7 linked regions of the Ovis aries genome follow. The protein of the gene in region 1 interacts with the protein of each later gene in a biochemical or structural test. Links are inferred from orthologs where the notes say so. Each region holds a gene or a part of one and is shown on either strand. Other genes may lie near its edges.

What was found.
Region 2: the proteins of TJP1 (region 1) and JAM3 form a complex in vitro, tested with the Homo sapiens proteins (2 studies listed by BioGRID and IntAct, with this or other methods). The link is inferred for Ovis aries from reciprocal best matches to the Homo sapiens genes TJP1 and JAM3.
Region 3: the proteins of TJP1 (region 1) and CLDN1 form a complex in vitro, tested with the Homo sapiens proteins (2 studies listed by BioGRID and IntAct, with this or other methods). The link is inferred for Ovis aries from reciprocal best matches to the Homo sapiens genes TJP1 and CLDN1.
Region 4: the proteins of TJP1 (region 1) and CLDN7 form a complex in vitro, tested with the Homo sapiens proteins (2 studies listed by BioGRID and IntAct, with this or other methods). The link is inferred for Ovis aries from reciprocal best matches to the Homo sapiens genes TJP1 and CLDN7.
Region 5: the proteins of TJP1 (region 1) and CLDN8 form a complex in vitro, tested with the Homo sapiens proteins (2 studies listed by BioGRID and IntAct, with this or other methods). The link is inferred for Ovis aries from reciprocal best matches to the Homo sapiens genes TJP1 and CLDN8.
Region 6: the proteins of TJP1 (region 1) and KIRREL1 form a complex in vitro, tested with the Homo sapiens proteins (3 studies listed by BioGRID and IntAct, with this or other methods). The link is inferred for Ovis aries from reciprocal best matches to the Homo sapiens genes TJP1 and KIRREL1.
Region 7: the proteins of TJP1 (region 1) and CLDN2 form a complex in vitro, tested with the Homo sapiens proteins (2 studies listed by BioGRID and IntAct, with this or other methods). The link is inferred for Ovis aries from reciprocal best matches to the Homo sapiens genes TJP1 and CLDN2.

The regions. Positions count from the first base shown.
Region 1 is NC_056071.1:26,237,855-26,241,354, reverse strand, and holds part of TJP1 (tight junction protein ZO-1), read left to right. Parts: intron 1-2,145; coding exon 2,146-2,321; intron 2,322-3,500. UniProt on the Homo sapiens protein: TJP1, TJP2, and TJP3 are closely related scaffolding proteins that link tight junction (TJ) transmembrane proteins such as claudins, junctional adhesion molecules, and occludin to the actin cytoskeleton.
Region 2 is NC_056074.1:30,404,147-30,407,605, forward strand, and holds the end of JAM3 (junctional adhesion molecule C), read right to left. Parts: coding exon 3,330-3,459; intron 2,930-3,329; coding exon 2,830-2,929; intron 1,787-2,829; coding exon 1,657-1,786; intron 1,574-1,656; coding exon 1,435-1,573; 3' UTR 1,265-1,434; coding exon of another isoform or gene 1,229-1,264; 3' UTR 501-1,228; downstream 1-500. UniProt on the Homo sapiens protein: Junctional adhesion protein that mediates heterotypic cell-cell interactions with its cognate receptor JAM2 to regulate different cellular processes. Plays a role in homing and mobilization of hematopoietic stem and progenitor cells within the bone marrow.
Region 3 is NC_056054.1:197,851,246-197,855,219, reverse strand, and holds the start of CLDN1 (claudin-1), read right to left. Parts: upstream 2,801-3,974; coding exon 2,578-2,800; intron 1-2,577.
Region 4 is NC_056064.1:26,860,628-26,863,989, forward strand, and holds CLDN7 (claudin-7 precursor), read right to left. Parts: upstream 2,145-3,362; coding exon 1,922-2,144; intron 1,121-1,921; coding exon 956-1,120; intron 835-955; coding exon 750-834; intron 664-749; coding exon 501-663; downstream 1-500. UniProt on the Homo sapiens protein: Plays a major role in tight junction-specific obliteration of the intercellular space.
Region 5 is NC_056054.1:126,338,464-126,342,410, reverse strand, and holds CLDN8 (claudin-8), read right to left. Parts: upstream 2,609-3,947; 5' UTR 2,407-2,608; coding exon 1,729-2,406; 3' UTR 501-1,728; downstream 1-500.
Region 6 is NC_056054.1:108,440,894-108,444,393, reverse strand, and holds part of KIRREL1 (kin of IRRE-like protein 1), read right to left. Parts: intron 3,168-3,500; coding exon 3,017-3,167; intron 2,017-3,016; coding exon 1,911-2,016; intron 1,752-1,910; coding exon 1,603-1,751; intron 1,441-1,602; coding exon 1,313-1,440; intron 495-1,312; coding exon 320-494; intron 225-319; coding exon 124-224; intron 1-123. UniProt on the Homo sapiens protein: Required for proper function of the glomerular filtration barrier. It is involved in the maintenance of a stable podocyte architecture with interdigitating foot processes connected by specialized cell-cell junctions, known as the slit diaphragm.
Region 7 is NC_056080.1:128,411,158-128,415,203, forward strand, and holds CLDN2 (claudin-2), read right to left. Parts: upstream 2,801-4,046; 5' UTR 2,663-2,800; coding exon 1,970-2,662; 3' UTR 81-1,969; downstream 1-80. UniProt on the Homo sapiens protein: Forms paracellular channels: polymerizes in tight junction strands with cation- and water-selective channels through the strands, conveying epithelial permeability in a process known as paracellular tight junction permeability.

The sequences.
Region 1 (3,500 bases):
AAATTTTCAAAGTTAAGATGAAACAAAGGATCACTTGCATCAAATGGAGTCAGCCACACAAAGTTCAGTGTGTTCTGAAGGGAAATGTTAGCTGTGTCATACTTACTTGATTTCTGTGGGTGTTAAGCAGTTCAGCATGCATGCTATCCAGCCTGGGGTGTGTAGCTTTGTTCTTAGACCCTGGCGTCATCTGTGTGAGCTTCTTACATTAGAAAAGATGTTAAATGTCAAGGGGTTCTAAGGGTCCAAATACTTTGACAAAGGTAAGAGGGTGAGCATTTAAGAGACTGACCTTGAAGTCCCTCCTTCCCACGTGGCACACTCAGTGCTGCTTCTTGGCATTCTTCTTGGTTTTTGTTCTTTAAATATAAAAGCAGGCTATGCTAGGGAGTGAAGAGTTGTTTGGTGTTCTCCCAAGGCAAGAACAAACTTGCCTGCTATCACTGTTTGAGCTTAAGGGGACGTAGTGACTTCTGGTCCACTTGTCAGCGTGGGGCGCTGTGAAGGGGGCAGCACAGGGCCTGAGCTCTGAGGCCCTGCCCATCGTCTTCCTGTTCCGTGCTGCACCCTTCTGTTTGCTTGTCTACTGGGCCTCTGGTTGCTTTACTTTTTCGTGGATTTTGCTGGGTTACAAGCTACAAGCTCACCTGTGCCTTTGTGGGTTCCTATGTTGTGTGTATTCTGGTTCTGCCTCTGGTTGAGCCCTGACTGGGGGCGAACTTCATTCTGAGAATGGAGTGTAATCGCACACAGGCACAGGTGGGCCCATACCTGAGCAGAACAGACTCACAGTAATGAAGACAGACGTGGATGTGTTACGAGGAAGTCGTTTACACAGTGTTGGTAAGCAAGTCCTAGGTCAGCAGGAGAGGGAAATTTGGAGCCGTGTCTGAGCTGAGAGAGGCTGTTGTGTCCTCTTAAAAAGCTTCCCATCTAGATAGTCTCTTTTGGGACCCCTGCAGTAGTAGTGTTTGAATCAGTAACTAGGACTGTTAACTACCAGGACTGGTTCAGTGTAGCCAGGTTGAGACATGGACAGAACATGAGGTAGAAACATAGTTCTGTTTGTGGCAGACTTAGATTGACTGTTTTCTTTGACTTTGCTCTTGTGCTGGCTTTGCCACCACCTAAATTTCTTGGCTCTTAGACTAGCTCTGACTGCTGGTCCAGGAGCATCCGTGTAAGACACTAGTGTGAGCTACGCCATGCGGGCCCTTCGCAGTGCACACGTGGCTGACTTCCTGTCCTCCTAAGGGTGTAGTTTTTTGAGTTGACCATGCGACTGGACCGTGACCAGAATCTGTGACCATTCCAAGTTCTGTGCTACCGTGTGTGCGCGTAAAGCAGGTGCAGCGGGGCTCTGCAGAGCTCAGGTGGCAGCACTGCGATTCTGGGTCCTGTTGTAAAGGTGTCTTCTTTGTGAATTTTATGTATTCCCATATGAACAGTTGGCAATCTGAAAAAAAAAGCATACATGGCACAGTTTGATTTAAATGAGTCTTAAAATCAAGCAGTGTTTGCTCCTCTAGGAATTGCTAAACAGAGAATGGATCTGGTAAATCAAGGGCAGATTTAAAGACCACAGTGTCCATGTTACTGGACACAGCAGAGTCCTGTCCCTTAAATGCTGCTTTTGGCTGCTTTTGGGCAGAGTTTGAGGAGCTGTGAGAGAAACTGTGTGGCCCAAGAAGCCGAAACATTTCCTGCCCAGCCCTTAGCAAAAACGCCTGCTAGCCCCTGCTTCATCCTCTAGTGCCCAGCTGGTGCCTTAGATGCAAAAGCAGATGGGAATCTAAGGAGGATTTGAGCCAATAAATGTTTCGTCAAAATACTTACCAACCATTGCAATTTTTTGTGAACAACCATCTTCAGTATTATGAGTGTACCGAAATTTCATCTGCCATTTGGTTGCCATCTTCTGGATGTCTTACTAATATTCTTACTATATCTGTGGTGTTTTCACCTCTCTGGGGCTGATGATGGCTTAACTTAGTTTGTGTATTTTGGTAGAGTACCCATACTCATAGGGAATAAATTGTGAAATTCTCAATTGAAAGCAAGCAACTTGGGGATGCCTAGAAGGATGGGAGCTTCCTTGGTAGTGTGCGTCATCTTCAGGTGCTGATGTGTCCTCATTTTTCACAGGGGGAAGGCTGCTGAGGCTGAAGCTGTGGACAGGTCGTTCGGGGAGAAGCGCTATGACCCACTGCAGGCGACGCCCCCACCTCCGCCGCTGCCCGCTCAGTACAGCCAGGGTGCTCAGCCCAGCGCCAACACAGCTCTTGGCCTCCATGCACACACCAAGGGGGCTCACGGTGAAGGTAGACGGCTCAGGAGTGGGCAGACAACTGTTACAGTTAGACTTATGAGGCTAATGTTAGACTCGTGCTTTCTAAGTAAAAGTGGGTTTATGTAAGAAAGACACACTTGAATCCTATGGGCTTAGGACAGTGAAAAATAAGGATTTTGTTAAAAGTACATCTTTTTCATGACTGTTGCCTTTTAGCTAGATAGAGTTTATTCTGCCTAACACAGCTCAATTTCTGTACGTGGAGTTTACCAGTATGTCCAAAACTAAATGAAGGGTGGTTTGTAAAAATCATGGTGACATCCCTCCTCACACGAGGTCTCTCAGCAGGGCCATCTTGGGGGTGTCCCTGCGTGTCTGCCTGTGTCTTGTCCTCCACATCTGTGATCAGTAAACTGTCTCCCTCGCCCAAGGCACTGCCCCCACCCCCCTTCCTGCTTCCTTCAGCTTCCTCCTGCGTCTCAGCAAGTACACCTCTCCTGAGCCTCCCGCCATCTTTCCAGCCTGCAGCCTAGACACCCTGGGAGGGCCTGTGGCCCCACCCCCACCCCCTGTGGCGCCCTCCCAGGACACACACGGCGCACGTCTCGTCGTACGTCCCACTGCTGCAGACGGTGCTGCTCTATAGTCACCGGTGTCCACTCCCAGGGCTGTGATTCGATAACACTGTATGCTAGGATTTTCTTTTCACACGGTCATGTCTGCAGACAAAGTTTAACTTTTTACTCTCCAAACCTTATGCCTTTCTGTTGTTGTTTTTTGCCTCTCTGCAATGGCTGGGATGTGCAGTGCTATGTGAATAGAAGCGATAATAGCACACCTCTTTTGCTCCAGCTCCCACTTTGGGAGAGCAGATGGGCAGTGTGTGACTTCTCTGGGTGCCCTTCCTTCTAGTTTGCTGAAAACATTCTATCAACTGACTTTATGTGCAGTTGTCCTTGGTATCTGCAGGACGCCCCTACTCTGCATGCGGAGCAGAAGTCCCTGGTGGGACTGGTGCAGTACAGCGCCCACCCCCCGCTCGGGCTGCACATCCGAGGATACAGAAGGCCAAACGCACTGTAGAGGATCCTATGATTTATTTCCTTTATTTTGTCCTGTGATAAGTTATATTACTATGCTCACAAAAAATTTTCTTGTCCTTGTCTGGTTTTGGTATCAAAGTTGTACTGGTCTCTTGAGAGCTGGGACA
Region 2 (3,459 bases), on another chromosome or scaffold:
AGAAGGAATTTAAAGGCCTGACAGCAGGGCTGCTGGGTTTACTGAGCCACGCACAGCCACAGAACTTGGGCCCAGGGAAGCCAGGCTGGGGGGCCACATGGAGGACCCCACTCTTCCAGCCCCCTTGGCGCTATCCTGGGTGGACCTACATGGCAGGTGAACGGCACTGTCAGAGCTGTTCCGCCCACGGCCTGTGTCGTGGCATCAGGTGGATGAGGGCAGGAGGGCTGGCCTGGAGACTCAGGAGCCAATACTGCTCCGAACAGGCGTGTGGCTGGCGCACCTGTGTCTTAGGGCCTGCGGTAGGGGTGGGGGTAGGCCCAGGGAAGGTCACCCAGGAGCCCTGCGTCTCTTCTGCACAGACACAAATAGACCATGAGGTTACTCAGCTGGAGTTTTCTCAAAGGTTTCCTAAGCCACCAGTGGTGTTTCCAATTGAACAGGAGCAGTTTGGGCTCCTAGTTTAAGTTGAACTTAAAAAAAACAAAAAAGATACAGTATTTAACAGCATATGACAACTTATTTACAATTTAAATAGAAATTTTCAATAATCAAAATACATCTTTAGCAAAAATTTAGACTGTAAAATTTTATAAAATAAACACCCATAGAAAAGCAGAACATCATGTCAGTACCATTTCAGATTCAGCACAAGATGAAGGCTCTCCAATGCTGGGACCCTCTATAGATGAGCAGGGTTCCCACAGCTAAGAAGATCCCTCCTTCTAACAAGCTGTTTACTGTCCTGATTTGGGCTGCTGTTATAAAATGCTTACCCAAAAAGAATCCTCCGGGTAGACACCAGGACTATCTTGGCAAAGCCTGGGGATGAAGTGGCCCCGGGGCCACCGTGAAGCCCCGTCACTGCAGCCAAGGCTCAGGTCATGACCCTGGCTGCCAGCCTTGGATGCTCATGCTGGCGTGGCCCCACCATGGGACAGGTCACCATGCCTCCTGAGCCCAGGTGGCCCACCTCAAGGCCGGCAGACCCCACGGGGTTGGCTTCGTGAACCCGGCCACTTCCTCGCCTTCTGGTGACTTGCTCATCTCCAGGAAAACTCTTTTATTCATGTAGCTTGTTAAAAAGTAAGAAAGGAGTAGCGGTCAACTTTGGCCAAAACAAAAGCTTTTGTGCGCGTGTCTAGCCCCATCCGGCGCCCCTTGCAGGGCTGCTCCTGGCAGTGTTCCCCATGGAGGTGTCTGCGTGTGCACACAGCTGTGCCACCATCTAGATCACAAACGAGGACTTGTGTCTGAAGTCGCCCTGAAAGGCCAACACAGCAGGTTAGAGGGTGGCCAGCAGGTGGGAAAGGAGCCTGACACCACTTCCCTCAATGCTCTCTTGGATGGGAATGGCCACAAGGCCTGCAGACCAAATGCCCCACGAGCACACCGCCTGGGGGCATGCTGAGGGGCTCATGTACTGGACATAACTCAAATCTCTCTCCCAGGGACCCGCCCGGTTTTTGGGGGGATGCCATCTTCCCTGCTGGAGTCACCGTCTCCAGGCTTCCTTACCTCCTCATCTGTCCTGATGTAGTTAACTCCATCTGGCTTCCCTGGGTTCTTGTAGCTGAAACAGAGCAGAGGAGCTGGGTGACGCCTGACAGGCCATAGCAATGCTCAGGGCACGCTGTTCACGCAGGACAGGCTCACCTTTCCCCGTTCCGGCTGTGGCTGATGAAGTAGCCACGTCTATAGGCACAGCAGATGCCCCCTGTGATGAGGGCCAGGACGGTCAGCACGACTAGGACCCCCCCGATGATGCCGCCGATGTTGAGGTCATCTGGAGAAGGCGAGGGGTGAGAAGATGCTGCCCCCACCTCCCAACACCGCCCCCGGTCTGGAGCAGCTCTGCCCACAGGCTGTGACACCCACCTGCTGCACCATAGCTGCTGCAGCCACAGAGCATGGCCTGCGCTATGGGGAGTAACAAGCCTCTGGGCACATCCTAGAGCTTTCTTACTGAGAAATGGCTCCCCTACAGAGGAGAACTAGGAGCCAGAGTCCTGAGGAAGAAAAACCCCTAAATTTCTAGGGCTTCTCTTTGTTGAAGATTATTTAGTTTCAAGTGGCCATTAAAAGGGCAACTAGGAGGTAAGAACGTGGCCTTGCAGCCGCCAGCCGTCCCTCAAGGAGACCCTCAGCTGCACTCTCGAGCTGCAGTGTGGGGCCTGAGGCTGCACGCTTTGTGCAGGTAACAGCACAGTGGAAGCCACGCAGGTGTTTATCGACCAGTGCTGTCCAGGCTGGGGCTGCTGCAATTCTCCCTTGTCTGGCACAGGGTTCTTGGACGTGAGCACATGGTTACTTAAAGATGCACTTGAATTCTGACTTCATAACGTCAGTTTCCAAGCTCCCTCTCTCAGGTCAGGAACTCTGGGGCACAGCCCAGGAATCTTCTTCCTGCCCAAGATCAGCTCCCCAAATCTGGCAGCAGCCGGGGAGTCCCCTGGGGACCGGTTCCACAGGTGGGGTGGGCCCTGGACCCTGCCCCCCTCCACTGAGCCCTGACAGCCCAGAGGAAGAATCACCCCAACAGCATAAATTACTGTGGTGAGCCCTAGTTTCCGCTTACTGCAAAAAGGTCAGACTGGGTAAATACCTAGAGACCTTACACAACCTTATGTTTCCATGATTCTATCAGTTACCAAAGAAATGGAGTTCAGGATACTTCAGTGAAAGCTGTGGGTTGAGCAGAGAACCCGTGGGTCAGTCCTTCAGAGGGTCCTCCCACCAGACCCGGCAGACTCCAGGGAGCCCATGCGCCCCACAGAGTGAGCATGACCAGCCTGCCAGCCCCCGGGTCGAGGCTCAGCAGACACTCACACACTTCCATGTCCTGCTCCTCACAGCGGGCCGAGCCCGCGTCGTTGGATGCAATGCAGTAGTACTGGCCCGAGTCTTCCTTGTGGACGGCGCTGAACACCTGCCGGGGGTCGGGAGTGAAGGGAGACCCAGTGCCATCCCACCTGCCCACCAGGGGCTGTCCCCAAACACGACAATGTGGCTCAGTCTTGCCCACGACACGAGCAGCCTGCACACACCAGCAGTGTCGCAACGTCATTGTGTGGCCAGTGAGCGAGGCCCACTGCCTCCCGACTCTGCTCCGGATGGCGCTGGGCAGGCTGCCCTGCACTCCCCTTGGCTACTGTCCCCTCAGCTCTGCCTGCCCTCCTGCACCCGCTTACAGGCTTTCCTGTCTATAAAGGGCGGGGGGTGGGGGTGGCTCCTGATATTAGGGTCTGTAGCTCTGGTCTCCTGTCTGCTCACAGGAGCTCTGCCCACAGCACAGACGCCCATACCGCACCTCTTCCCAGAGCTCTTACCAGAGTGCCCGTCTCAGGGTTTAAGATGAAAGAGGAGTTTCGGAAGCGCTGGTTGGCCCTGGAGTCTGTGGGCAGTGGCACGTCGTTGCGGTACCAGCTGTAGTGCGGCCGTGGGAAGCCCTCGCCCTCC
Region 3 (3,974 bases), on another chromosome or scaffold:
GAGTCAGTTTTGAGAGAAAGGCCTCAGCCCCACCTTTGATAAACTCTGGCATTAACCAACAGGAAAATAGGAATAGACATGGAGTTAAAAAAAAAAATCAGAAAGCAATCTCCAAAATGGGTAGAGGAAAGGTAGTGTTCCGATCTTCCACCACAGCTTTAAAAATCATAACAGTTATGTTAGGTATAAATGAAAATAAAACATTTTAACACATCTTCATGTGTAGGAATAACCTATTTTGGTATTTACAACATGGATTGATCTGATTTCATTTGGCTGTTTAAGGAAGGTAAGTCTATTTGCACATGTTGAAAATGAACTACTAGTATTTCCCTGGTGGTCCAGTGGCCAAGACTGCACTCCCAGTGCAGGGGAGCCAGGTTCGATTCCTGGTCAGGGAACTAGATCCTACATACCACAAGTAAAAGATCCAAGATGCCCCCCAAAAGATTGAAGATCCTGAGTGGCACAACTGAGATCCAGGGCAGCTGAATAAACATAACTTGAAAGATACTTAAAAATAAGAAAATGAATCATTCTGATCAGAGGAATCAGAGATCTATCTGGAATTGTCCTTACAACCATCTCCATCTGCCAGTTCTTCAATCTGACATGCCAGATGCTGTACAATTCCTTACACGTATTTATCCATCCATGAGGAGATTCGATGATTATATAAAGTCATATACTTAATGTACTCCTTATATTTGGTATGAAAGAATCCTAATATGGGAACTCTGAAAAGCTGAGATGGCAACACTAAAAACCGCCATGTGTACACTGACTCACAAATTCCACAGGTACTCGAGAGTTTTAAACAGATTCGAAACAGAGTGAACAACTCTAAAGGGCATGGCTTTTGACAAAACCACACACAGGAGGTGGACAAAGCAACTGAAGTAAACTTGAGCGACGACTTGAACACTGCTTACCGTCAGCACACAAAGGGGACTGGTGGGCAGGCTTGTTTGTCTAGGCAAAGGCTAAGGAAGCTTTTATTCAAGTTAGTTCAAGTGCATGACAGACACAAGTTCAGGACAACTAATGTCATATCTCAAGGAAGCTACTCTAGCCATGAATTGTTGTTACCTAAGTAAGCAGGAATTTAATGAATTTCTGACAAAACACTCAGAAGTTTTTGTTTTAAAAAACAATAAAAGAAAAAATCCATCCTGTCACTCTTCTCTCCATCACATCTAGGACTATTTCTCTCTACATAATCCTGTCCAAACTTATGAAAGAAAGAAGCCAACATTTGTTACATAGAAATTCCTCTGTGGAAGACAGAAACTCAGAGAAGACCTGCCCTCTCTCTCCCAATCTCTGCATTCATCAGCTGTATCTCCTTAGCTTCATTTTCCCCTTTATATAACGGAGAGAGGTAATTTTGAACTTCTCTTTCTTCTCATCCTTTTTCCACCTGCCACCCACCTTCACTTTCCAAAATAAGACTATACAATCTCCTCCTCTGAAGACTCCTGGTCTGAGAGCTAAACCTTCTGGGGAATCTTTAGAGACTTACTTCTTCAAGGAGTCACTGGAGGGAAAGACTTCCTCACACTTGTTTAGTCCCTCAGTCATATCTGAGAATCTGCAGCCCCATGGACTGTAGGCTGCCAGGCTCTTCTGTCCATGGGATTCTCCAGGCAAGAATACTGGAGTGGATTGCCATTTCCTTCTCCAGAGGATCTTCCTGACCCAGGGATAGAACCCAGGTCTCCTGCACTACAGGCGGATTGTTTACCACTGAGCCACTGGGGAAGCCCCCTTCACACTAACTGGATCTTAGAAGTCAAAAGAATCAGGAGATTCAAACTCAAGTGTGAGAAGACACTAGGTTGAGACAGTCTATGTAGGACTCTGATTTCTTCTCATGATAACTCATAGTAAAGATAGAGAAAAAAGTTATATCTAATAACTGGCATTATCTATTTAATTTTACAAGCTGGAGAAGCTTTCGGACTCCAGATTTTTCAAGGCACATCATTTTCTTGTCCTAACCCTACAGTTCTTCAATTTTCACAGAATCTGAGAATGTCCAGGAAAGGCCTAAGAGCTCAAATTCGAGTTTGGCTCCCACTCGCTCAATTGCCACCCCACTCATGGGTATGTAAGCTGAAACTCACACCTTGAGAAGAGTGTCACCTAGGGAGTTAGAGGAAAAATTAGAGCTTAGGTCTGGTTGGCCCTTTCCCCAAACCACGGTTCCCTCTACTACCTTATGGCGGGGCACATGGTCAGAAGACTTGATCCACTGAAGGTTGACAGACATGTAATCACACAACAGAACCTTTTGATAGCTACTACTCCAAAAGAGAGCCATTTGGGGTTGGGTCCCTGTAACTCAGACAGCAAAGAATCTGCCGGCAATGAAGAAGGCCCGGGTTCGATCTCTGGGTGGGGAAGATCCTCTGGAGGAGGAAATGGCGACGCACTCCAGTATTCTTGCCTGGAGAAGCCCATGGACAGAGGAGCCTAGCGGGCTACAGTCTGTGGGGTTACAAAGAGTTGGACACGATTGAACGATTAACATTACACCACCCTGAGCCACAACTGGGGAGTGGGGAAGGCACTCACTGTTCAGATTCAGCAAGGAGTCGAAGACTTTGCACTGGATCTGCCCGGTGCTCTGCGACACGCACGACATCCACAGCCCCTCGTAGATGGCCTGGGCCGTCACGATGTTGTCACTAGCATAGGAGTAAACCTTCCACTGGGGCAGCGCCGTGCTGACGATGGAGCCGATCCAGCCCAGAAACGCCAGGATGAAGCCCAGCAGCTGCAACCCCGCGTTGGCCATGACTCGCTCGGGCGCCCGCGCTGGCTCAGGGGCAGCAGGTGCACAAGGCGGAGTTTGCAGGTGCTCACCCGGGACTCCCGAGGGTGACGGAGCCTAGCGGAGGAAGTTATTGCAGGTAACCCTGCCCCCTGCGCTGACGTCGGAGAAGCTCTGGGACCGGGTCCGCCTCTTGGTCGGCGCTGCGGTTCGGAGGCGAGAAGCTGAGGCTGCTCCCGGACCGCGACTGAGATGCAGACCCGCTGGGCGCCGCGATTTAAAGCAGCTCCGCCCAGGAGCGCAGCGCCGCCCAGGAGCGCAGCGCCCTCTGGCGGTTTCCGGGCGGGTTGCTGGAAAGCGAGAGGGAGCGCGGGAGCCCGAGATGGGGCCGAACTCTGGCGGGAAGGTTCTGCCAGCCAAGTGGGGACGCGAGAAGGATCAGGTACGCATCGTGTCCCGGTGCTGCTCATTTCCTCTCTTTTCTCCTCTTGCCCTTTTCCTCTGTGAGCCTTCCCAGGCTTTCCGTTCATTCAATCCACATTTATCCAAAAATGACTAAGTATGACTAAACACTAAAAAATGCCAAGATGAAAAATTAAGACCTCAAGAGACGCACAGTTTCGTTTTCGACTTTTTCCTCGCTGATTAAAAGACATTTCTATGGCTCACCACCCCTCTAACCTCCCTCACACACTTTCCTCCCTTTCCGTTCAGCCTCCTCCCCGTTTTCCTTTCCTCCCAATGCCCTTTCTTCCATTCGAGATCTCTCCTAGAATCATAAAAGAAATGTTGATACTTTATTTATTAGGAAACGGAGACCCAGAGAGGAAACGTGATTTCCGTAAGACCATAGAGCAAGTTGATAGCATATGCAGTACTCTGGTTCTCAGCCCACTCTGCCCAACTACATCTTAGCTTGACCGAAATATATGTCCTTTGAGCTTCCCTGGTGGCGCAGCAGTAAAAAAAATCTGCCTGCCAATGCAGGAAAGGCAAGAGGCACGGGTTCAGTCCCTGGGTCTGAAAGATCCCCTGGAGAAGGAAATGGCAACTCACTCTGGCTTTCTTGCTTGGAAAATTGTATGGACAGAGGAGCTGAGTTGGTTATAGATTATGGGGTCTCAAAAAGTACCTCAGTGAGTAGGACTTGACTGAACACACACACCCATCCTTATGGAAATACAGCCTACCCACCCCT
Region 4 (3,362 bases), on another chromosome or scaffold:
TGGCCTTAGCCTGTCTCTGCTCCATCTTTGTTTCCTGTTTCTATGGAGGCCCTGCCCTGTGACCCATGAGCCAGGGAGCAGCTTCCAGTGAGAAGTGGGCTGGAGGCATAAGAGAAAGTGACAGGATAGGAACACCACCTCCACCCAACCCTAATAAAATATTTTATTTTGTATTAAAAGAAAAAGTTCTTTGGTTGCTATTTAAGCAAAAGTCGAAAGTGGACAGGACTGGAGGCTGGGAGTGGATGAGGGAAGCAGATGCCCTGAAGGGGATGGAAAAAAAGCCTACTTTCCAAAACATTTTTATTACTGTACAAAAAGCACACCCTCCCTTTTTTGTCCCCCCCACCCAACCCCCCAGGAAACTGTACATGGTGTGCTGGGCTAGAGTGACTGAAGGCTTTTGCTTGGCACCCTGCCCACAGGCTGAGCTCTCTGCCCCAGGTCCTTTCATAAGGAGGCACCTGTAGGCTGCCAGGTTGGGGCAGGGGCGTCCCAGCTCACACATACTCCTTGGCAGAGTTGGGCTTAGGGTAGGAGCGAGGTGCACGGTATCCAGCTTTGCTCTCACTCCCAGGACAGGAGCAAGAGAGCAGCGCACCTCCCAGGATGATCAGAGCAGACCCTGCCCAGCCAATGAAGATGGCAGGACCAAATTCATACCTGTGGAGAGAAGGGATTGCGGTCATGAACCCTGGCCTGCCTCTCCCAACCCCAGACCCCTTAGGAGATAGGGCTCTCATACTTACTTAACATTCATGGGGACCAACGGGTTATAGAAATCTGAGACAATCTGATGGCCGTACCAGGAGCAAGCTATCAAGGCAGCAAGACCTGGGGAAAAAATGGGGATTCAGGTACTGTGAGCCACCCCCCCAAACCCGCACTGTGTCCACACTTACCCCTTCAGGATGGTTAACAGAGTCCTTGTCCCCACCTTGGACCTGTGGCTCACCTGCCAAGATGAAAATGATGCCTCCCGTCATGGCTATCCGGGCCTTCTTCACTTTGTCGTCTCCCCCACAGTTTGTACACTTCATGCCCATCGTGGCCACGAATGTGGCCAGGAAGCCCAGCACCAGGGAAACCACCATTAGGGCTCGAGTGGCCTGCAAGGCCGCTGCGGAAAAGGGGTAAGGATGCCATCCTTGCTGGAAATGACGGGGCGACCCTCGGACCGATTCAGACCCCGAGTCCCAGGTCGGAGCCGGCGGGTCCCGCCCCCTCAAGACTCCGTGGCCTTCCCGCTCTGCCCCGCCCTCTCGGCTCTAGGATCCGCCCGGGGCGCCTGGGTTTCGATGAAACTGCCCCCGCGGAGGGGGAAGGGTGAAAGTGGACGTCGAAGGAAAACAGAGGTGGTGACCTGAGCCCCGGTAGCGGTGGCTGCAGCCCCGGGGCCGCCCGCAGTCCTGGCTCTCGTCTCAGCTCTGACCCCACTATCGAGGCCACGGTTTGTGGCTTCGGCTAATCGGCCGATAAGATTAGAAGCCGCAGGCGGCGGCCCAGGGGGCAAACAGGAGGCGAGGCTCCTCGGCCCTTGGTTCGACCCAGCGGCCCCCAGCCCAACCCCGCGGCCTCCAGCCCGCGCCGCCTTTTGTCCGAGAAAAGGGCGGGAGATGGCGAAGACCTTGGCCTCCTCGGGGTAGGGGGAGGGGAAGGCCGCGCCCCAGGACTCAGCTTACTGGGAGCGGCTTGGTCCGCTGGCCGCTCGGCCGGGAGACGAGGCGCGTCCGCGGGCGAAAAGGGGCTCAGCCGGACCCGCGCACGTGCAGTCCCAGGACCTCAGCCCTACCGCTTCCTCCTCTCCAGCCGCGCTACCGCGCAACCCAGCGCGTCGGGCCGTGGGGCCTCGAGCCCGGCCCCTCACCCACCCCGCGACCCCGGCTCTGGAGCATCCGCCCCGTCGGTCCCGCTGTCTTACCCGGCAGGGAGAGCACCGAGTCGTACATTTTGCAGCTCATCATGCCGGTGCTCTGCGTGACGCAGTCCATCCACAGCCCCTTGTACATGGCCTGGGCGGTGATGATATTGTCGCCAGCGTACGAGCTCATCTGCCACTGCGGGATGGCGGTGCATGCCACCAGGCCCACCCAGCCCACCAGAGCCATGGAAAAGCCCAGCAGCTGCAGGCCCGAATTGGCCATTTCCGCCCTCAGAATAGACGAGGGGCGCCTGGCGGGCGAGTTTTTAAGTCACCCAAAGAGGCAAAAAAGAAGTTGTTGGTCGACTGCTTGCAAATCTGGTCTCCGGAGTAAACAAACCGACCCCTCCGGCGAGGCGAGAGTCTCAAGGCAGAGGGGAACAGGACTGGTGACCGACAAAAGCGATCCGCGAAGGCCTGGCGGCTCCCTCGGGCGCTCGGCGACTCTTCCGAAACAAAAGGTGGAGGGGCCGTACGGGCGCGGCCTCCGGGTGCTGGAAGTCCCCAGAGTATCCTGGGCTGTCGGCCCGAGGCTGCTGTGCCAACTAAAGGTCGCTCAGCGGTGAGCGGGCAGGTGCGGGCGGACAGGTGCTGCGCACCTGAGTATAAGTAGGGCGTCGGGGGCGCGAGACAGGGAGTGATCGAGGGGCGGCCGAGGGTGACCTGACGTCACCGAAGGGACACTCACCTGAGCCGGAAGTCCTTGCCCCCACCCCTCCTGGCTCAGGTGTGGAGGAAGAAACCTGAGCACCAGCGTCACGCCCCTTCACTTACTGGGCTCGGCCCGCTGGAGGGGGGAGGTGGAGTCTTCTCGGGAGTCCCGAGTTCTGAGGAAGCCCCTCGGACTGGAGGTCCCTCGGGCGCAAGGACATCCCTTCCCCGCTCCCGGACAGGTGCGCCAGGAACGCGGCGGAGCCTGAGCGGGAGAGATGCCCCAGGCTAGCCCTGGCTCCGCCTTCCCCCCGCAGGGACTCTCGGCTTCTACTCGCTCTTTATCCCGCCCTACTTTCGCCCCCACCCTCGGTTCTACTGTTTTTCTCTTCAGTCTCCTTTCCTCGCCGACCCCACCTTCCGGGGACCCCTCAGGACTGTCCACTTCAGCCGTCTAATTAGAGTCTCCACCGCCAGAGCCACCGCCTAGCGCCCAACCGCCCCTCACCGCAGTCGCCTGCACCAGACACCTGGCTTCCAGAAGCGGTGCCCCAGCACCCGTCTCCTCCGCCCCCTATTCCGATCTCTGCTGGACATGACTTAATGGCGGGGCCCTTGGCACCCCCCCGCCCCGCAGTCACAGTCTCGTCCCGCCTCAAGTGTCCTTTCCGCAGAAGGAAGAAACCACTGAAGCCAGAATCCAGCGAAGGGAGGGAGCAGGGTAAGGCCTGGGTCAGAGTCTTGGCCACACCCACCATTCTCTTCCCCTGGAGTTTTTCCAGCCGGTCCT
Region 5 (3,947 bases), on another chromosome or scaffold:
GTCTTATAAGAGATTTAGTGATATAATTCATTTAAAACAGTAGAGGTCTTAGTTTATAACCCATGTCCCTAAAACATTATGCACTATTATTAATTAATACTATTTCTCAGAGGCAGGACTATATATCCCTATGGAAAGTTTGTACATAAATAGCTATTACATACATAATAATATATGCAGGGTATAGATTTTTGGAACCTATAGTATTTGCAAATATATTATCAACATTAAAAATTACAAATATATTATCAACATCAAACACTAGTGTGTGAATCCAATCATTGTAAGTATATCATATTAAATGATATATATGATATATAATGATATATAAATGATATATAATACTCTATTCTCAAAAATTAATGCTGAATCTATCTTTATCTTTAAAATGCAATTTTGAAAGCCTTTTTTAACTGCAAAGCTGAAAATATCAGGTTTTTAAAAACTCTTTACAAGTTATTAAAATATTTAAAAACTGAAGAAAAATGAAAGATATCAAATTAATATAAAAAGCACAATTTATTAATACAAAGGACATAAAGCAGATACACATAGTCAATTAAGCTAGAAAGATGTGTATACAGACTTTCGAATCAGATTAACAGTTCAATCAAATCTGGGGGGAAACATAAAGATATAGTATACCTGTACCTTAGTAAAACTGAACAAAATTGAAACAAATAAAAATTTCACCTTTGAAAACTGAAATCATAATTTTGACTTAAATGTCCACATATAAGGAGATGCAGTTCACAAAAGACAATTTGGTTTCATTCTTTTGGTAATCAAATAAAGGTATAGAATTTTTCTCTTCTGTTATTTATATTAATGAAAGTCCAAAGTCTCTATACAAATAGTTATTAAAATATTCATATATATATAATATTTCTTGTCAAAATGTACCCTTCTCCAACCACAAAAACTTGAGGAAAAAAATCTTCACTTTCCTGAAGTCTTTAATATTTCTTAGACTATAGCTTTATCTTTCTTCTTAGTATAGCTCTGGAAAAGCAGTTTGAATGCAAAGCCCCTTGACAAAATATCTGGCTTTTAAAAGATGACCATTTAATATACAAGAAAAGGAAGGCCTCTGGAGAATGAGGAGAAAGGAATTTGGATTTCTAACTCCTAGGCTGAAAAATGAGATATCAAAAAGCCATTTAGTTCCCTTTACCCTGCTGATTAAAGCTTTCATTTTAACCTTCATTATAAATCAAGTGCATTCATCACTAAGTTGTTTTTAAACAATTAATATTAACCTTCTTCAATCTTACCCCTGGTTCCCCTGAAAAGCAATAGTTGAATTCTATTTATTCAGTGTAATGAATCAGTGTTTCATTTAAAATAAGACTGTATAAACCCATCTCTACGTATGTGACACAGAAATGTCACACTCATCTATATACATAACGCTCTGTCAGAGAAATCACAGTTGTAAAATAATTGTCTCTAACAATGTCATTTTGAAGTAACTAATAAAAGGAGAAAAAATATGAACCATTTTAGGAAACAAATTGTTCTTTCTAGAATAATCCTAGCAATGTGTACAATTTCTCATTCAGCTGAAATCGATTATAGAATCATAAAGAGCTGATGTAATTAGTTCCTGTGATTAAGACCAGGCGGTTAAGAACAGCCAATCAAATGTTCTTTTGGGTCTCAGTTTTGGAAAGAGTGGACATCTATGTCATCTGTGTGGCTTCCTAGGTAGTTTAAAAAGAGCCATAACTACACGTACTGACTTTTGGAGTACACACTCGGCGACTTCTTTTCGGTGTGATAGCTTTTCTGGGTTGTCCGGTGGGACGGTATGGAGTATCTGTAGCTACTGCTCTTTTCATGGCAGCAAGAAGCACAGCAGAACAGCGCCCCTCCAACCATCAGCACCAGGGCCGTGGTCCAGCCTATGTAGAGCGCTTCTCCCAGCTCCCGTTTTTGGGCAATATCCACTATTGGGTTGTAGAAGTCTCTGATGATGGAATTGGCAACCCAGCTCACGGGGATGAGCACCACGAGGCCAGTGATGATGAAGATCACTCCAGCGGTCAGCAGAATGTGACCTTTCACCTTGTCGTCGTCCCCAGTACATCTGGTACACTTCATGCCGAGGACGGCCGTCATGAAAGCCAGGAAGACCAGCACGGAGGCGGCACACATCAGTCCTCTGGCTGCCTGTAGGTCCGGAGAGAGAGCCAGCAGCGAATCGTAGATTTTGCACTGCATTCTGATGTTAGCATGCCTCATGCAACTCATCCATAGTCCTTCCCAGAGGTTTTCAAAGACCACAATATTGCTTCCAATGAAGGCAGACACTCTCCACTGAGGCATGACTGTGACAGCCACTGTGCCCACCATGCCCACACCACCGAGCACCAGTCCGGCGATTTGCAGGGCGTAGGTAGCCATTCTCCTCCAGGTTGGGTTTTATCCGACCAGACGCCTGAGCTGGTGAGGCTGCTCTGAAGCCAGGTTCTCTGCGCACCGAGGGAGAGCAGTTTTTCTGTAGTAATGAACTCAGAACTCAGTGATTTTTTTCAAACAAGAGCTGCCTGGCTACTTCTAACTAGATTAAATCCAGTGTTGGCTGGCGGAGGTGCCCCCAGCTACTGACTGTGGCGGGTAAAGTTACAAATCAGGTGGGGCAACTTTCTCAGCCAATAAGAGGGGGGTGGTAACTCAGGTGTGTCTAAGCCCACAAGAAATACTTGGAAGAACTGGACCTGCACATAAACATTCTTTGTACTTCTCAGTTGTCCAAGAAGACAGCAGTATGTTTACCTGGAGGCATAATTAAGAATGCTTGCGCAATCGTCAAGAAATGTATCAGTCCCTTGAGATGTGAAAGTTGTACCTTGAACTGGCAATTCTGAAACTTTGAGTAAGGGCTGCTGTGGCCAAAACATAAGCTGCAATCTTTGCCTGAGAATTTGCTAGGATTGTCAGAATGCCAAAGTGAAAGGAGACCAGGGGATTGATAGATTGCTCATACCTGAGAAACCACATTCTTTGGGACACATATGATCCAAGTGGTTGATTTAATTTGTCAGCGACTTCAAAGCAAGCTTGACTGGGGTGAAATCAGGGAATAGATCTTGCCAAGGGACAAAATAAGGCTAAAGTAATTAAATACATACTCTTGTCCTCCTCCATGGCACCAAGCACATATTGTTTTCTTTTGAGCTAGGGAAACCACTCATTGGTATATACATGATAATCTTAATTTATAAGGAAAAAGAAATACAAAACAAGAGAAAAAAATCCATGTGACTTTCTTCTGCTTTTTTTTTTTTTTTCTGGATTCTTATGTAGCAAGTACTCACAATAGTAATTAAATGATGGATTGACTTTCAGGTTGTTATCTCATTCTATAGCTTTATCTTTTCTGTCTTCTTATACCTAAGCAACTAGAATTCTGCAACTGGTGCAAGTTTTAGGTCTATACAAATGGCTGATATTTCTAAATAAAAATTTATATGACAAAGTGACTATATTCAGCAAATCAGCTAAATCTGTCAATTACACGTCTTTAATACCATGTCTTCAAGAGGAGCGGGATGTGCCTTGTGCTGTCGTATTCGACTGTTTCCTTACAGTAGGAGGTAGAAGCCCGTAAATGATTTTTGGACTTTTTCGTCTCAAAATAATAATGATGACAGCAATGGAATTAAACATTCGTGTTGATTTTGAAAAATTCCACCTGCAGTTTTCTTCTGGAGAATACCTTGAATACACTGTCCTGTCTTTCCAAAGTTCAAACTTTAGTTTCCTTTCATTTGTGCATTTTAAAAAGATCCTTTGTTTACAATTTTACTTCTCTGCTTCCTTGTACTAGCTTAACTCAGGGTATGGAAGGGTGTGTTTCCTGCTCACTTGTTAAACTTTGAAAATTTAATGGGCCAAAAAATCTGAGTCGTTCATAGAGATATAGAGATTTTAAAAAACAGTAC
Region 6 (3,500 bases), on another chromosome or scaffold:
GCAGGGAGAGGGACAGAGTCAGGGGATGAGAAGCGCAGGGCATAGGAAGAGCCTGGGAAAGCCGGAGGGGAGGCTGAGGCAGGTAGGGAAATAAGCAGCTGGCCCGAGGCCTGGCCCACTCACAATGCGGTCTGGTGGTGGCGTACTCCCGATGAAACACTCCACCTTGCCGCCGTCGCCCCTGACGGCGTACTGCACGGCCTCGCTGGAGATGATGGGGGGCCCTGCAAGCAAGAGGACAGGGTCAGGGCCCAGATGGAACCTCCAGCAGCCCGCCCCTGGGCACCCCCCCACCCCCCGCCTTCCTCAGGCCCCTCACCATTCACGTAAAGTGGCACCTCCCGCTCGGCCACTCCGATCCGAGGCACAATGGCCCGGCAGGTATAGGTGCCGGCATCGGCCTGGGTCACCGACTTCAGCAGCAGCTGGTTGCTGTTACTCAGGACCTGGGCAGAGAGAGCAGCCTCGGGTGGGGAGCCAGGAGGCCTGGGCCCCTAGATCCGTGTGGGCCCCCACATTGGAGGCATTGGAAAGAAAGCAGGAAGGGCCACAAGTGAATTCCCAGAAGGGAAGCAGAGTCCCGAATCTTATCTGGTCCATCCCTTGACTCTAAAGAGGTTAGCATTTAGACACAGCATCTCTGTAAGAGCGGGCAGACCTGGGTGGAGGTGCATGAGGGCAGGTGAAGCTGCCGTGATTTTTAAAAGAGGATGCAGCCACTGCTGGTGGCCTCTCTTAGTGTTTCTCTTGCCAAATGAGGAAGTTTCCCTCTAAAATCCCTCCTTCTGCAACTCTGGCCCAAACTGTCCCATATAGGCCTCTGCTGCTGCTGCTAAGTTACTCAGTCGTGTCCCACTCTTTGCGACCTCGTGGACTGTAGCCTACCAGGCTCCTCCGTCCATGGGGATTTTCCCGGCAAGAGTACTGGAGTGGGGTGCCAGAGCCTTCTCCAGTAGGTCTCTGCAGAGCTGTAGAATTCAGCCTTCTCTAGCGCATCACCCTGGCCACTCCACCCTCCTATGCAGCATTCACTGACCAGGTATCTTGCCAAAGCAGCAGCTCCAGTCCGGCCCCCTTTCCCCATCCCACCCACAGGTCACTGTCCCTCTCACTGCCACTGAAGCAGCCAGCTGTCTGCCAATGAAGGGTGGGGTTGACTGCAAGCACCGTCCTTCTCTTCCAAATCCAGAGAACTTGGAAATATCCCAGGTTCAACTTGAAAAAGAATGCTGTGCCCCCTGAGCCCCTCTCTTCCCAACCTGTGGCCAGGCTTCTACCGCCCAGGGTTCAGGAGAGGCGGAGAGCTTCTTACCATGTTTGAGTCCTTTTTGGTCCAGGTGAGGGTGAGGGGGGGATTCCCAACCCAGACACAGGTGAGGGTCACATCAGAGCCAATATCTGTGGTCGTGGGTTTAGGGTCAACTACAATCCGAGGGGCAACTGAGGTAGAAAGGGAGAAACAGATCATCAGGGTCCTGAGCTCATCGGGTAGGTGGGGGGGGGGGGTGCAATTCCAATCCTCCTGCCTTGTCTCTCAGCCCCACAGAGCCTCCCCCACCCCAACCCAGGTCCCTTAAAGCCCTTGCCCCTGCAGCTACTCACAGTGGACATTGACTAGAGTGCTGACATTGGTGCTCCCCACTTTGTTGTGAACCTCACAGGACACGGGCTCCGTGAAGAAGGAATAATCAACATTGGTTTCATAGCGACTCTCATGGGCATCTTCAATCAGGAAGCCCCCCTTGGCCCACCTGGAGGAGGCAACACAGCAGGGTCAGGCCTTGGAGCCCTCTTGGAGCCCTCTCCCCGACATCCAGCGGCCTGTCTTCCCCAGTCCCCCACTCTGGACCTCAAGGGCCTCCCAGTATCCCTCCCCAGGGTATGCCCCCGCCCCGCCCCTCCCCTCCTACCTGTAGCCCAGGATCTCCGGGTTGGCCGTGGCCTGACACGTAAAGATGACACGCTCGCCCTCCTGCACCGTCTGGGGCTCAATAGACAGAGTCACCGTAGGGGGGTCTGCAAAGCAGAGGACGGCAGGTCAGGATCTTTTCTGTCCCTCAAATTTCTTCTCTCTCTCTAGCACATACACTGAGACCTCACCCGTGTGGTGATCTGGGAATTTGAGTTTGCAGTGTACCAGCTCCAGTAAATAAGCTTTCCTCACCTTTATTCCAGGAGCCTCTAGGGGCCGGCTAGGGTGAGGACCAAGGATGATACCAAAGGGACAAATTAGTCAGATGGTGTAGTGACCAACTGTGACCACTAGGCGTCAGTGTGGGTTCGCTAGGCTCACTAGCCAGGATGGGGGTGGGGCGTCTCTCCAGTTGCTGCCCACACTTCCACTCTTGGGCAGTGGGAATTTATTGAGCACTTACCCAGTAGCATACTCCATGTGAGATGCTCTTACACTATATCTCACTTAACGCTCACAACCCTGAGAAGCAGGTATAGGTCATCACAATCCCTTATCTGAAACCCCTGGAATGAGATGTGTTTCAGAATTTGGAAATTTTCAAATGCTAGAAAGGTTATGATGACCACAGACCATTTACTGTGTAAGACCCCCAGCAGAATCTGGGCAACATCCCATAGAAACACACATTAATAGTGAAATGTATGGCTATTCCTATTGAGTTATTAAATAAAAGACTACAAAGAGCTTCCGTTCAGGTTTTGCCACCCAATCACTTTTGGTTTGGAATTTCCGATAAGGAGCTGTAGGCCTGCGTTTTATTTTTTGCACATATTCAGAATTAGAAACTACGGCTCAGAGAGATTACGTCATTGCCCAAAGTCACACGGTCTAAACCCGGGAACTGCCTGGCTCACAGCTGATGCCTCTTGTGCCAGCTCTCAAAGCCTACAGTTCAAAGCAGGAACTCGAAGAGGTCAAAGGAACGGAGCATCTGTCCCGGGGCCCCTGGGGGATTCTTCTGTGCTTCCCAAAGGGTGCCACCCCCCAGGGTGCTCGTTGACCCGCCCGGCCCCACCCGCCTCCCCCGGGGGCCCTACTCACGGTGCACGTTGAGCTCAATGGACGTCTCCTTGCCACTGGGGATGGCCTCGTTGACGCTGCGGCAGGTGAAGACACGCCCAATGTCCAGGTCTGTAGGGTTGATGAGCAGCTGGCTAACGGTGGTCTCTCTCTTCCCATCCTTCAGCAGTTCCTGGGGCGGGAGGATGAGGTGGGGAATAAGGGTGGGAGACACGGTCAAGCTAAAAGCCCCTTCCTCTGCTCTTGGAGTGACCCACACAGAGCTAGGTTTGCTGGAGGGGCATTTAACCTGAAGCTCTGCCCTTCCCCCAGCCCCTACCTCCTCCCCAACCCCAGTTTCCTCTATTATTAGCATGATGCACTAGTGTGATACATGTTACATCTGATACATAATACAAGTAATGACCCGACGTTGATACCCTATTCCTAACCGAGGCCACAGTTTACATTAGAGTTCACTCTGTGTGTTGTATAGTTTTCTCCATCGTTTTAAGTCTCGTTCCTG
Region 7 (4,046 bases), on another chromosome or scaffold:
GTTTCTATTCTACCCTCCCCTTCGCCCAGTTCCCTCAGTCATACCTGCCCTGTCTGAATTAATTAGAATTAATAAAACAGTTGTTCAATCAACAAGTGTTTATTGATCACCTACTATGTGCTCAGCACTCTTACAGACAGTCTGGGAAATATACACATGGCTAAGATATGGACCCTACCCTTCAAGAGTTTACAATGTACTTGTGAAATCGGTTACATACACATAGAAAGATAATTATCCATCAAACATTGTGAATAATAAGCATCAAAGAGTGATTTTTTTACATTGAGGGTTGGAGGATGGAGGGGTAGGAGAGGGACGGAGTGGTCAGAGGAGGCTCGGTGAAGGAAGCGGTGCCAAGCAGCTTCTCCAAGCATGAGGAAAACTTAGCTAAGGAGAGAGGGCCTTCCTGCTTGGGAGAGGAGCTTAAATACAGGCAAGAACTGTGAAAGACATGTTCCAGGCAATGACTGGACCCCTCCTGCTGGCGCTGCGGTTTAGGGCAGTGTACTGGAGTTTGTCAGAAGCTAGTCATGCTCAAGCCTTTGGTTTGTTTGTGCCTGTCACTCCCACCTCCACCCCCAGGGGAAAGGGGGCATTTTGAAATCTTGGAGCTGAAACTGTCTGCCTGGGAATCCTCTACTCTTCCATCTCAACCAAAATCCCAGGTGGCAATTCAGCTGTCACTCAGATGAGGGCCACGGCACCTGGGTCAGGATGACTCCGTGCTGGAGCCATTTGATGCCTTCTAGCAATGCCACCATGTCTGATAAAGGATGGTGGGGAGAACAGGAAGGTGACTGACAGGGGCTCATCTGGGGCTGTGGTCTTTCAGAGGTGCTACTGTGCTCTGTGGGCAGACCTCGGGGGCCTGATCTCAGTCTCCAGACTGCTTCTCCATTAAGCCTGAAGACTCTCCCGGGGGCTGCCTCTCTCTGGCCCAGTAGAAACACTCATTGTAGTTCCCACCCGTGTCCACCCGTGCTCCCAGGCTGTCACCCCCAGCCAAGGGCCATCTCTAAACCAAACCAGTTTCCTTTCTCTACAGAAACCATTGTGCAGGCCCTTTCACCTGTTGTTAGCAGGACGCCAGGTCAGAGGGAGACGGGGGCTTCAGTGCAAGTTGGCGCTGTAGCTTTTGAGGGAGCGCCTCGGTACAGTCAGAACCTGCTGCCGCCTTGAGGGCTCTGTCGCACGTTCTTTCCTTGTGCTTTCCTCTCTCTGGGAGCTAGGTCCCTGGGCCGAGATTTTGGCCTCTTTTTTTTTTTGATCCTCAGCTTTGGTCCTTGCCCTCTCATCCTCCACCCCATTGCTCTCTGTTCCCTCAGTACAGTGGGGTGGCTTTATTTCAGTTCATACACATTCAGTTAGACACATTGAGTCTAGACATGTGGAGTCATAAGAGTGGGATGGAGGAGGCTCCAGGGCCCATTACTGGCCAATCAGTTTGTTTGGAGGGAGGCCTGCAAAGGAGATTAGCGCCATGCCCACAGGAGCCACCACCCCTTCGCACCCACCCCCATCCCTCAGCAATGAGCTAAGAGCCAACCTCAGCAAGAGGAAGGGTCTTTGATCACAGAGAGGGTCAGTCAGTGGGACGTACTTAGTGGGCTTTTGGATGGACTCCCAGGTAAATCAAAGGGTAAAGGGTAGATGCTGGGGCCTGGCTTCTGGTGGGGGGTGGCTGGAGTTGAGGGTTGGGTATTCGAGGGCTGGGGGGTGGAGGGTGCCAAGATGAAGGAAACAGAAAGTCTGGCTTAGCAAGAGTCTTGACAGTTTAACCCGCATGCTGTCACACCAGCTCCTGTTTCTGCCTTTGTTTGATCCAGTGGCCAAAGTCAGTCTATCTCCAGCAGCACCTTCTGACACGATCCAGTGCCAATATCCCTCACCTGTGGGCCTGGGAGAGGAGGGTGTCCACTGGTGTTCACAGACCCAGCCGCCACCCCCAGCTCTGGCCCCTGGTTCTTCACACATACCCTGTCAGGCTGTAGGAGTTAAACTCACTCTTGCCTTTGGGTGCTTGACCAGGCCTTGGAGAGCTCCTAGTGGCCAGGGGCTGGGCCTGGTAGGCATCGTAGTAGTTGGAGCGATTTCCCTGGGGTGAGCAGGAAAAGCAGAGGAAGATTCCAGCTACCAGGGAGAACAGGGAGGAAATAATGCCCAGGTACAGAGCCTCTCCGATCTCAAATTTCATGCTGTCAGGCACCAGCGGGGAGTAGAAGTCTCGCAAGATCCCGTGAAGATTCCAGGCAACAGGGATGAAGCCCAGGAGGCCTCCAAGGATGAAGAAGACTCCGCCCACCACCGCCACTCTGTCTTTGGCTCGAGACTCCTGGAAGAAGACTGTGCATCTCATGCCCACCACAGAGACAATGCAGGCCAAGGAGGACATGGCGCTGGACGTCACCATCATGGCCTGGGCAGCTTGGATGTCAGCGGGCAGGCCTAGCATGGTGCTGTAGATGTCACACTGGGTGATGCCTGTGCTGTGTGTTGCACACTCCATCCAGAGGCCTTTGGAGAAGCCAACTGCAGTCACAATGCTGGCACCAACATAGGAGCTTGTTCGCCAGCTGGGGAGCAGCATGGCAATCAGGGTGCCCAACAGCCCCAGAAGGCCCAGGACGTAGCCCACAAGCTGGAGGCCAAGAGAGGCCATGGCAGACCTCTCACACGCGGCTTCAGGGCAGGCTCCCTTGTCTGCTGGCTGTAGCTTTGGCTCCTTGGATCCCGGCCTCTAGTCCCTCATTTCACAGTGTCTCTGCCAGGCTGACTTCTCTCCTCCTTACAAGTGTCTGTGGGTGGCCACAAGCAGGCTCAAGAAGGCATCTAGAAGACTTAAAAAAAAATCCATAAACCAGATTAAATATTGACCAGAAGCTTATGAGAAACCAGAAAATGCTGGGTGCCTTTTGACCTTTGTTATCTTTAGAAAAAACACATGAGAAACAAAGGAAAAAAAAAACTTTGAAAGTGGAGCCAAAATGTCATCAGCTCCTGCGTAGGCACATGCTTTATATTGGCAGCCAGACAAAACCTAGAGCCAGACAGGTGGCTGCTTTCCGAGAAGGTGGCAACGGCAGGGTCGGTTGTGGTGACTATGTTAACTCCAGATCACGCTGTCAGCTGGTTCTGTCTCCAAGGCCCACGGTTTAATGCATTGCCCAGCAGTGGTGCCACGGGGCCCCTCAATTGTACCTTGGGGCCAAATTCCAAGGCAAAGGAGCAGGAAGAACAGACCCTTAAATATAACCTTGGACTCTATGTTCTCAGAGGCCTCTTGACTCTACAGCAGCCTAGAGATCAGTGGTATAGCCCTGGGTCACCCTGTCCAAGGTTAAAGTCGACTCCAGGGCAGGTCGGGGCAGACAACGGGGCATCTGTCCACACTCTCAGAGTTCAAGTCCTTCCAGTCCTGCCCCAGTCCTCCTCCACAGGCTAGCCTGAGGCCTCCCACATGTATCACACACCCAGACATTTCCTGTCTGCTCTCTTAATAGTTGTGCCACCACCCCGTAGGCCTCTCAGGAGTTGTGGGAGGATTCAAGAGTGAAGGTTGTTCCAGGGCCTAGAGGGAGCCCTGACATTCCTGGGCTATCTGCTAGGGACACTAAGGTAGACAGAGGAAAAGGCAGCTGCTCCAGAATGGAGGACTTTGTAAGAGGCAGTCATCCAAGTCAATCCTTTAGAATCACAGAGCTGCTCAGGGTTTTCAAGTGTTCAAGGAGCGTCCCCCACCGGCGCCCCTGACTCTTACCAAGGTTCAAGACACTAAGGGTCAAGGGCACATCCTTGCTTCCATCCACCTCAAGACCCTCTGAGCCACTTGTTTTTCAACCCACCAAAATCTGGCTGTTCAATTTTAGCCTTATTCAAGACTGTTCTTAGTGTAATCATCTCTTAAATGTGAGTATTTGAAAGTCCATCCTTTCCTCAATCAACACTCTGTCCCTGAGCAAATGTATCCATCCCCATGATGTAACCTCCTACCCATCCCCTGGCACTCCCAAATCTGTGTTTCCAGCATAGACCTTTCTCCTGAG